Saccharomyces cerevisiae S288C: one gene and its partner. The gene in region 1 interacts genetically with each later gene. Each region holds a gene or a part of one and is shown on either strand. Other genes may lie near its edges.

What was found. Genes that interact genetically often act in the same process or in processes that back each other up.
Region 2: mutations in DAL1 (region 1) and SMM1 together harm fitness more than expected from each alone (negative genetic interaction), as found in Saccharomyces cerevisiae (2 studies listed by BioGRID).

What each region holds. Positions count from the first base shown.
Region 1 is NC_001141.2:404,669-410,051, forward strand, and holds DAL1 (allantoinase), read right to left. Parts: upstream 2,975-5,383; coding exon 1,592-2,974; downstream 1-1,591. Other genes in the region: MND2 (Mnd2p), read left to right, coding at 1-97; tyrosine protein phosphatase YVH1, read right to left, coding at 205-1,299; DAL4 (allantoin permease), read left to right, coding at 3,800-5,383. UniProt on the Saccharomyces cerevisiae protein: Catalyzes the conversion of allantoin (5-ureidohydantoin) to allantoic acid by hydrolytic cleavage of the five-member hydantoin ring. Involved in the utilization of purines as secondary nitrogen sources, when primary sources are limiting.
Region 2 is NC_001146.8:651,520-655,041, reverse strand, and holds SMM1 (tRNA-dihydrouridine(20) synthase (NAD(+))), read right to left. Parts: upstream 1,656-3,522; coding exon 501-1,655; downstream 1-500. Other genes in the region: acetyl-CoA carboxylase ACC1, read left to right, coding at 1-369; YNR014W (uncharacterized protein), read right to left, coding at 1,939-2,577; PHO91 (Pho91p), read left to right, coding at 3,330-3,522. UniProt on the Saccharomyces cerevisiae protein: Catalyzes the NADPH-dependent synthesis of dihydrouridine, a modified base found in the D-loop of most tRNAs. Specifically modifies U20 in cytoplasmic tRNAs. Also able to mediate dihydrouridylation of some mRNAs, thereby affecting their translation.

The DNA of each region.
Region 1 (5,383 bases):
TCTAGCGAGTAATTGGAGGAATTGGACTAGGGAGAGGATAACTAGTTTAGATGAATTAATGGAGAGACGAGCCAGGCAGCAACGAGGTCAAGATTAGAAAAATGCTCTCCTCAGCACCAAAATTCATCTATCTATTAAGATGTATACATACACAAGTGCACCAAAAGTGCTTAGTGGTAGTTATATTTGCTGATTATATCTAAGTTATCTATTTACTTTCTCGGATTCAAAATTAACCATGTTGGGCAAAGCAGTGGATTGTAAGGGAAATTGATCCACTTTACTAGTTTGCAGGTGGATAGCGGGGATGACCCACTTACCACAACTGCACCTAGATCCTTTCCAGTTGTAACCGCCAACTTTACTTGAACAGCCTGGACATGAAAACTTCCCTTCTAACTCTTGCTTGCCTTGTAGTTCAGGTTGCATCCATTTTAAAGGTTCGATGAAAAAATGAGAGCAATTTGCTTGTGACTCTTGAATATCAATAATACGATGGGAGTTGGCGGCCCTCTTGATGAAGTGTCCCTCTGATGATTCCTTACTTGGTGGGTCATGCGCGATGAAAGATGTAGATAACGCCAATTTGGTTCTGCACTTCTTACATCTCACTGCGGTGACCTTGCTCTTCTCAGCTTCAGTTAATTTATCCAAGTCTTGCGACGACTCCGAATCTTTAAACATTCCAGAATTGGAGACCAATTCGCTGCCCGATGGATCTAACTTGATAGATTGCTTCAGCTTCCACTGCTTATAGGCTGGGTTGTCGAAATCGACAAAATCTCCACCCATTTTCTCAAAGAGATGTAATTGTTCCATGAAATTCTCGTTTGGCTCAACACTCGGTTTCTTCCTCTTGACAGCGTGCATAGCCATTGATAGTGACAATCCATAACGATACATTAGGTAGGCTACTATGAAGGTTACAGATCTCGAGAGTCCTGCTTGACAATGAGCAAAAACAGCACCACGTTGTGGTTTCTTCTTGAAATCTACTAATCTGGGCGAATACTCAACTTCATTGGGGAACAAGCATTGATCAATGAATCGGTTCGTTTCATCGAAGTATTGCAGCACATCAGTCACATCATCATCATCGATGGGTATGTTTTTTAGCGTGTAACCTTTCCTTATTAGATACTCTGGAATGACCTGGAATTTGATAACAGAAAGAATATGAGTAATGTTAAATTCTGCACCCAATGGTCTGTGGTCAATAATTGGACGGATTCCGCCAAGATATATGCCTCCTAATATCCTGGTAACTTCCTCGTCTACTGAGTTTGCATTTCCAGCCATCTTCCCTGTAATTTCTTGCTGCTTTTACTGCTTTCTCTGCGTTATACCTGTATTAGATGCATTCGATGAGCTGAGGTATAATTTTTTTTTTCAGTTAGATTTCTTTTTTTTAGCGCTAAGAAAATTTCAAAATTGCAGCCGTGGAGACCCAGATGGATATATTGTAGATCATTAAAAGTTGTGTCATCTCAAACTAAGAGTGGTTAATATATGTATGTGTGTAAATAACTTTTTATAAATTTGTTTCTTTTATTTCTATAGAATTTCTTTAATAAAAATTTGCAACTTTAGTTTAACGTCTAGAATCAAGCAAAGTTTGACCCAATGGTGTTTTCGAGACTCCGTTGGCATTCGTATATACCACCTGGCCTCTTAATATGGTTTTCAAAACTGTGCCCTTGACCGTCATCCCGTTGTAGGCAGTCAATTTGTTTTTGAAGTAGACACTTGAATTACTTATTTTATGTTTACTTGCAGTATCAAATACCACCAAATCAGCATCGTACCCGGGAGCTATAGTGCCTTTTTGGTGAGATAGTCCTACCTGATGGGATGTATTTTTACAGCACCATGTAACGATATCGACCAAAGAGCAGCCTTGGGTAAACATCAATGGCAAACCTAGTCCGACGGAAGCGATTCCTCCCCAAGAATCGAAAAAGTCACCTTTTTGCAAGTTCTTCAACTCAGGGGTGCATGGCGAATGGTCGCTCACTACTGAGCCTATAACACCTTCACGCAAAGCGTCCCATAGGCCTTGGCGATTAGACTCAGAGCGGATGGGTGGACAACATTTAAAGTAGGTGGCTCCGTCTGGGATCTGCTCTGCAGCAATACACAAATAGTGGAAACAAGTCTCTGTTGTGACTGGTAGCCCTGACGCACGTGCCTTTCTGATCAAGGGAATTGCTTTCATTGATGCCAGATGAACTATATGTACAGGAGGAACTGGTCCATTTCTGGCTCTCAAGCATTCGAGAATCAAATTGATGGCGTCTATTTCGAAAGAATCCGGCCTCGAGGACAAAAACGAAGAATATTCACGATGGCTTTGCTCGGGTTGCTGTTGGTCCTCATGTGCCTTGGGCAACTCAGCATGAAACATCATCATGGTATCCTCCTCGGCTAAGACCTTCAAGGCTTCTTCTATATATTCTTTGCCAATTGGAGGGAATTCTTCCACACCAGAATCAAGCAAGAATCCTTTGAACCCGCGAACGCCAGCTTTGACAAGCGGAATTAAGTCTGGCAAGTTGTGTGGTACCAGTCCACCCCAAAACCCAACATCGCACCACATTTGGCCCTCAGCAGCTTCCAATTTAATTCGGAAATTCTCCACATTTGTTGTGGGAGGAATAGCATTTAGCGGCATATCAACCACCGTTGTGACCCCGCCACTAATAGCAGCTTGAGTTCCAGTTTCGAATCCTTCCCAGCTAGTCCTACCGGGCTCGTTCAAGTGAACATGAGAGTCCACAAGTCCAGGCAGAATTGTACATGGAGATACGTTCTCCAGCGTATGTATTTCATATTTGGTTATCTCAGTTTTCTCCATAACCACGGAGCCTTCTAAAACATCCAGAATCGTGCCTGATTCGGTCGAATACACAATAGTCGCAGGTTTATTTGCACCATTGATAATGACATGGTCGGAAGTGATGGCATTGATAGGCATCTTTGTTCTTCGCAGTATTTCACTTTTTTTTTGCCTATACGTTTTTGCGAAATATACACTTTTCTAACCTAATTAAAGATAGCTAAAAGAAAAAGGGGTACCTTCAATTACAAGATACCAGTAGAAACTCATCACTTTTGCGTTACCTCATCATTGTCCCCTTCGATGAGATATGCCTCCTCTATATAGATAATTAAGCACCGCAATTTTGAACCACTTCTCCTGATAAAGTTCCATCAGTCCACCATCAACACATTTGCGCCTATTCGATGATCCGCAGTAAGGGACAATAGAATCGAAACATGCAGTTCCTTTCTTTCCTGCAATTCTCGGGTCTAATGTGGCTCGAGGGTATCTCTTATCGGTATTACTTTCTTATCAATGAAAAATTTCTGCCAGGGAAAATGCGCCCGCTTTTTTTCCGGCCATCCTTACTCGCTGTCGCATACAAAATAGCGCCTCTAATCTAGTTGCGATAAGGAATGTGTATGTGTAATTGAAGATCCAGGATGTTTTCCTTTTCAGGGAGATGAGAAGGAATAATAGGATGGATTGACCGCTTTGCTGTCACGTCGATAAGGTTCCTTTAAAAATTGTGTCCAATGATTAGCATAGAGAGGTAGAGTATCAGAGAAACAAGTTTGTAATCGAGAAACTTGATCTGCTAGTGTTGAGCATAGAAGGCTAGGAAAACATGGGGAAGAAAAAAAAAGTATAAATAATTAGCTTGATGAGTAGTTTGAATATATATGTTACTTTAGTTTCCCTTTTTGACCTTTTATATTCATCTACATCTTGTGATATAAAACATCAACAAAGACGAGAATGGCTAACGACGCTCTAAGTGCTATTTTCAGTAATCCTTCGAGGAAAGGTGTCCAACCCTCCACATCTATTGTGTCATATACAAACAATGAAGATGATATTATAGATGTGGAAAATGGGAAGTTCAACAAGAACAAGAATATCAACACTAATGTGTATGTGGACAACTCCTCAATAGAGGAGAGCGAAGTCGTGCCCTTGCCCGAAACAAAGTCCATCTGGAGTAAAATATACTACGATTTCATTGTGTTAGACAAGACAACTTTGAATGTTTCGTTGAAAGAGTCGTTCTTGTATAACAGAGACTTGAAACCGGTTGAAGAAGAAAGAAGGTGTTGGTCCTGGTTCAATTACTTATATTTCTGGCTGGCAGACTGTTTCAATATTAACACATGGCAAATAGCTGGTACAGGTCTACAACTAGGTCTGAATTGGTGGCAATGTTGGCTTACAGTTTGGATCGGCTACACTTTTGCAGGTATCTTCGTAGTATTGAACTCGAGATTTGGTTCCGCATATCACTTATCTTTCCCTATTACTGTTAGGGCCTCATTTGGTATATTCTTTTCTATGTGGCCGATTATAAATCGTGTCGTGATGGCTATAGTATGGTATGCCGTGCAAGCCTGGTTAGGTGCAACGCCCGTGGCACTGATGCTAAAATCTATTTTTGGCAAGAATCTGGAAGATAGAATCCCAAACCATTTTGGTTCTCCAAATAGCACTACTTTTGAATTCATGTGTTTCTTTATATTTTGGGTGGTCAGTATACCATTTGTCCTAGTGGCTCCTCATAAAATCAGGCATTTATTCACAGTAAAAGCAGCTTTGATCCCCTTCGCAGCCTTTGGATTTTTAATCTGGGCTTTGAAGAAATCGCACGGTAAAATTGAGTTGGGGACGCTGAATGATTATTCACCTCATGGTTCCGAATTTTCATGGATATTCGTTAGATCCCTAATGGCCTGTGTTGCTAACTTTGCCGCTTTGATTATCAACGCCCCTGACTTCGGTAGATTTGCCAAAAATCCTCAAGCGTCTTTGTGGCCACAATTGGTTGCCATCCCATTGTTCTTCGCCATAACATGTTTGATCGGTATCATTGTTACTGCGGCCGGTTATCACTTATATGGGGTTAACTATTGGTCACCACTGGATGTACTTGGTCAATTTTTGGAGACCACTTACACCAGAGGTACTAGGGCTGGTGTGTTCTTGATTTCTTTTGTATTTGCCTTAGCTCAACTGGGTACAAACATTTCTGCCAACTCTCTGGCATGTGGTGCTGATATGACGGCTTTGTTTCCAAGATATATTAATATTAGAAGAGGTTCTTTATTCTGTGTGGCAATGGCTCTATGTATCTGTCCATGGAACTTAATGGCCAGTTCAAGTAAGTTCACCAGCGCTTTGGGTGCTTATGCAATTTTCCTTTCCAGTATTGCTGGTGTCATTTGCGCGGATTATTTCGTAGTAAGAAGAGGATATGTGAAATTAACACATTTATTCCTGGCACAGAAGGGTTCCTTTTACATGTTTGGAAACAAATTTGGTGCCAATTGGAGGGCCTTTGTTGCGTATATT
Region 2 (3,522 bases), on another chromosome or scaffold:
GAACTGGAATGGACCGAGGCACGTCGTTTCTTCTTCTGGAGATTGAGAAGAAGATTGAACGAAGAATATTTGATTAAAAGGTTGAGCCATCAGGTAGGCGAAGCATCAAGATTAGAAAAGATCGCAAGAATTAGATCGTGGTACCCTGCTTCAGTGGACCATGAAGATGATAGGCAAGTCGCAACATGGATTGAAGAAAACTACAAAACTTTGGACGATAAACTAAAGGGTTTGAAATTAGAGTCATTCGCTCAAGACTTAGCTAAAAAGATCAGAAGCGACCATGACAATGCTATTGATGGATTATCTGAAGTTATCAAGATGTTATCTACCGATGATAAAGAAAAATTGTTGAAGACTTTGAAATAAACCTTGTAAAGTAAAAAAAAAAAATAGTATTGATGTAATTTAATTTAGTTGCTAATATAAATTAGAAAATACATACATATATATATTATGCGCGTTTTCTTTCATAATCCGTTCTTTTTACTTAGAATATATTATATATCTGTGGGAAGGGGTACAACCTTTTGCTTTTTAGTGTCACTGCCTATGTGATCGGTCTGTTTCCTCTTTTGCTTGGCGATGGCGTTGGCGTTTTTCAAAGCTTTTTCTTGAGCTCTGCAGTTTTCCAAGTACTCTGAAGGATCTGTTTGAGCGCTTCCATCATCGTTCAATTGCTTTAGTACGAAACTAACTTCTTCCGGGCTCTTGCAACGGGCAAAGTACTGAAAAAAGACTGATTTTCCGGGGACAATTCTGCTTAACATGTATTTTGTATTGCCGATGTGGTTGTCAAACTTCGTTGCCCACTGAATAAACTCGCGACAAGCAACGACCCAAGATGGACCGTCTTCTGAAGGCTTAGAAGTGTGATCAAAAACTGTAGGGTCCCGTTCAGCACACTCTGCAATCATACCACCAATGTTAGTGTTTTTCCAATGATTCGCTTGTAAATCATGAAAATGAGAGCGGTCGCGGATAGCGCCGTTCACAATCAACGACACGTTATTTGCCTGGCATATCTCGTAGATCTCCGCAATGTAATCTGTGATGGGCTGCTCTCTGTTTCTCATTTCAGTCTTCCTGCAGTGAACTGTAAGATTTGTGATGCCCGTGGCACACAGACGTTTGACGAGCTGTAGAGTGTCTTGCTTGGTGTCCAAGAGTCTTATTTTCACACTGATGGGTTTGCTGTGAGGGTTACCCACGTTCTTAACCAGTTCTTTCAAGATGAGACACAGTGTGTCTGGGGTGCGCAAGAGGGCAGAGCCCATGCCGGAGTGTATAGAGAAGTGTTTGGGGCAGCCTGCATTGATATCTATCCCGCTGACGTCGTTGATCACTTTCAAAGCAGCCTGGGTGGCCAGAGCCGGGGATGCAGACCCGATCTGGAAAATCAATTTAGAGGATTCTAGTTTTGGATATGTTCTGAAAACGAGCGTCTCCGGCCTCGTTTGAACCTTGGACGGCACGACGTAGTCGACAGTTTGGAGTGCAGTGTTTTCCTTCCTGACGCACTGAATTAGCTTTTTGTCGATGATTTCTGGGGACCAGACGAGATCTGCACCGTGGGCCAGCGCCATCAGTCTCGTGGGCAGTTCGCCGGCTCTTACCATTGGAGCTAGAACCAGTTTTCCAGCATATGTAACCATGATCTCTGTGTGACTGCGCTATTTGGTGTGGCTTGGATGGATGAAATAGCAAAAGTTTTTCAAGACGGTTTTCATTTTTTCTTCGAGCGAAGTGATGAGCAAAGTAGAGGAAATGGAAAGCGGCAAAAAATGCATTGTCGATTTTAGTAATGAATATATAAAACGACGGAAATATATATATACATGGCTGCGTAGACCACGCAGAACTGTATATGTATGTATGTATAGAGGAGGGATGGGAAATGCTGTGTGACGATAGACAGATGGATGGACGAATGGATAACTACGTCTCTAGTCTCTCATACAATGGTTTGTCAAACTTGACGGCGACCGAGTTTCTTCTGTGGTGATGTCTGTTGCAAGGACAAGACGGGTCTGAGTGGTCGTTAGGAGACGCGGATGTTTGCGGCTCCTGTTGGTCACTGATGGGGAACATCATGCTATGCTGGGCGTACGAGACGGACCTTTTCATCTCGGACGACGAGCGATTATCGAAGGAGGGCAGTTGTGGCTCACTGGCCCTTCTTTGAAAGTTTTTGTGATGCGCGCATTGGTGGAAGTCGCTTGCCGGCAATACAGAGTTGCGCCTAGAAGAGGGCAGTAGTGACGGCGAGGTTGGGTCAGAAGTCAAGCACGAGGCTGCGGTGTAGTTACTCTTGAACAATGAGGGCCGCGTAGGGTCTGCTACAACGGGAGCGGAAACATTAAGTACAGTCTCGACGATTTCATTGTCAGTTGATAAAGCAGGCGGTAAGCCGACGGAGCTGCCTCTGGGGGAGCAGGCTTTAGATGTAGCAGAGGAGCAGGAGCTGCTGCTGCTGCTCCTGCTGCTGCTTCTGTCCGCGATCGACTTGTAGTGGAAGGTGATGTGAGCGGAAACAGGGATGTTCACGGCACAAGGCTTGATATCCGTGGACGACATGGAACGTTTATTAGTTATATTTTTCGAGAAAAAATCTGAAACTTGCAGATCATTAGTTTACGCTTCGGATGTACACACACATACCTATATACATATATACATACACATATATATACATTTGTGTGCTCGTATGCGTACTGTTTTGCACTGGGCTGATTCGAGAAAGTCAAAAAGCTTAACTGGCCAGAAAAAGAAATTAAAACGGCACCGAGGGGTCGAAACCTTCCGTTTCTGCGAAGGCCCTTTGTTCTTTTGCTTTTGATCCGAAATGAGGGGCGGCGAGAGGTAAGGGGTAGAGGGGCTGGAACTCTCGCTGATGTTCTGAGCGAGGTGTTCAGGTGGGCCTATCCGCCTTAATCACTCCGGCGTGGGGAAAGAAAGCAGAGAGCGAGCAGAGAGCGAGCAGAGAGTGGGTGATGTCAGAGAACGATAATCCTGATGGGGGGTGGAACTTTATTACCCTACTTGAATTTTTTTATTTTGGTAGGGTAACTTTTATTCCCTTGAAAAAAATACTTCTGGTTACCCGGATCCGTTTTTTTTCGGGGATCCACGTGATGGCTTTTTGATCAGGACTAATTTTAAAACTGAAAAAAAAAAAAAAAAATTGAGTATGTCTTGCATGTATGAAAATTGATAAGTAACTAGGAAAAATGCCGCTCAAAATCTTAGTAAAAATAACTTCTTTTCTTTTTTTACTTAGTCAAATAAAAAGAAAACTGTGAAGGTGACACGGTAACTTGCAGACTGACATGAAGTTCTCGCATTCCTTACAATTCAATTCTGTACCAGAATGGTCTACCAAGTATCTGGCCTATTCGCAGCTGAAAAAATTGATCTATTCTTTGCAAAAAGATAAGCTGTACAGTAACAATAAGCACCATGTTGTGGAGCCACATGACGCCAACGATGAAAATCTGCCGCTATTGGCAGATGCTTCTCCAG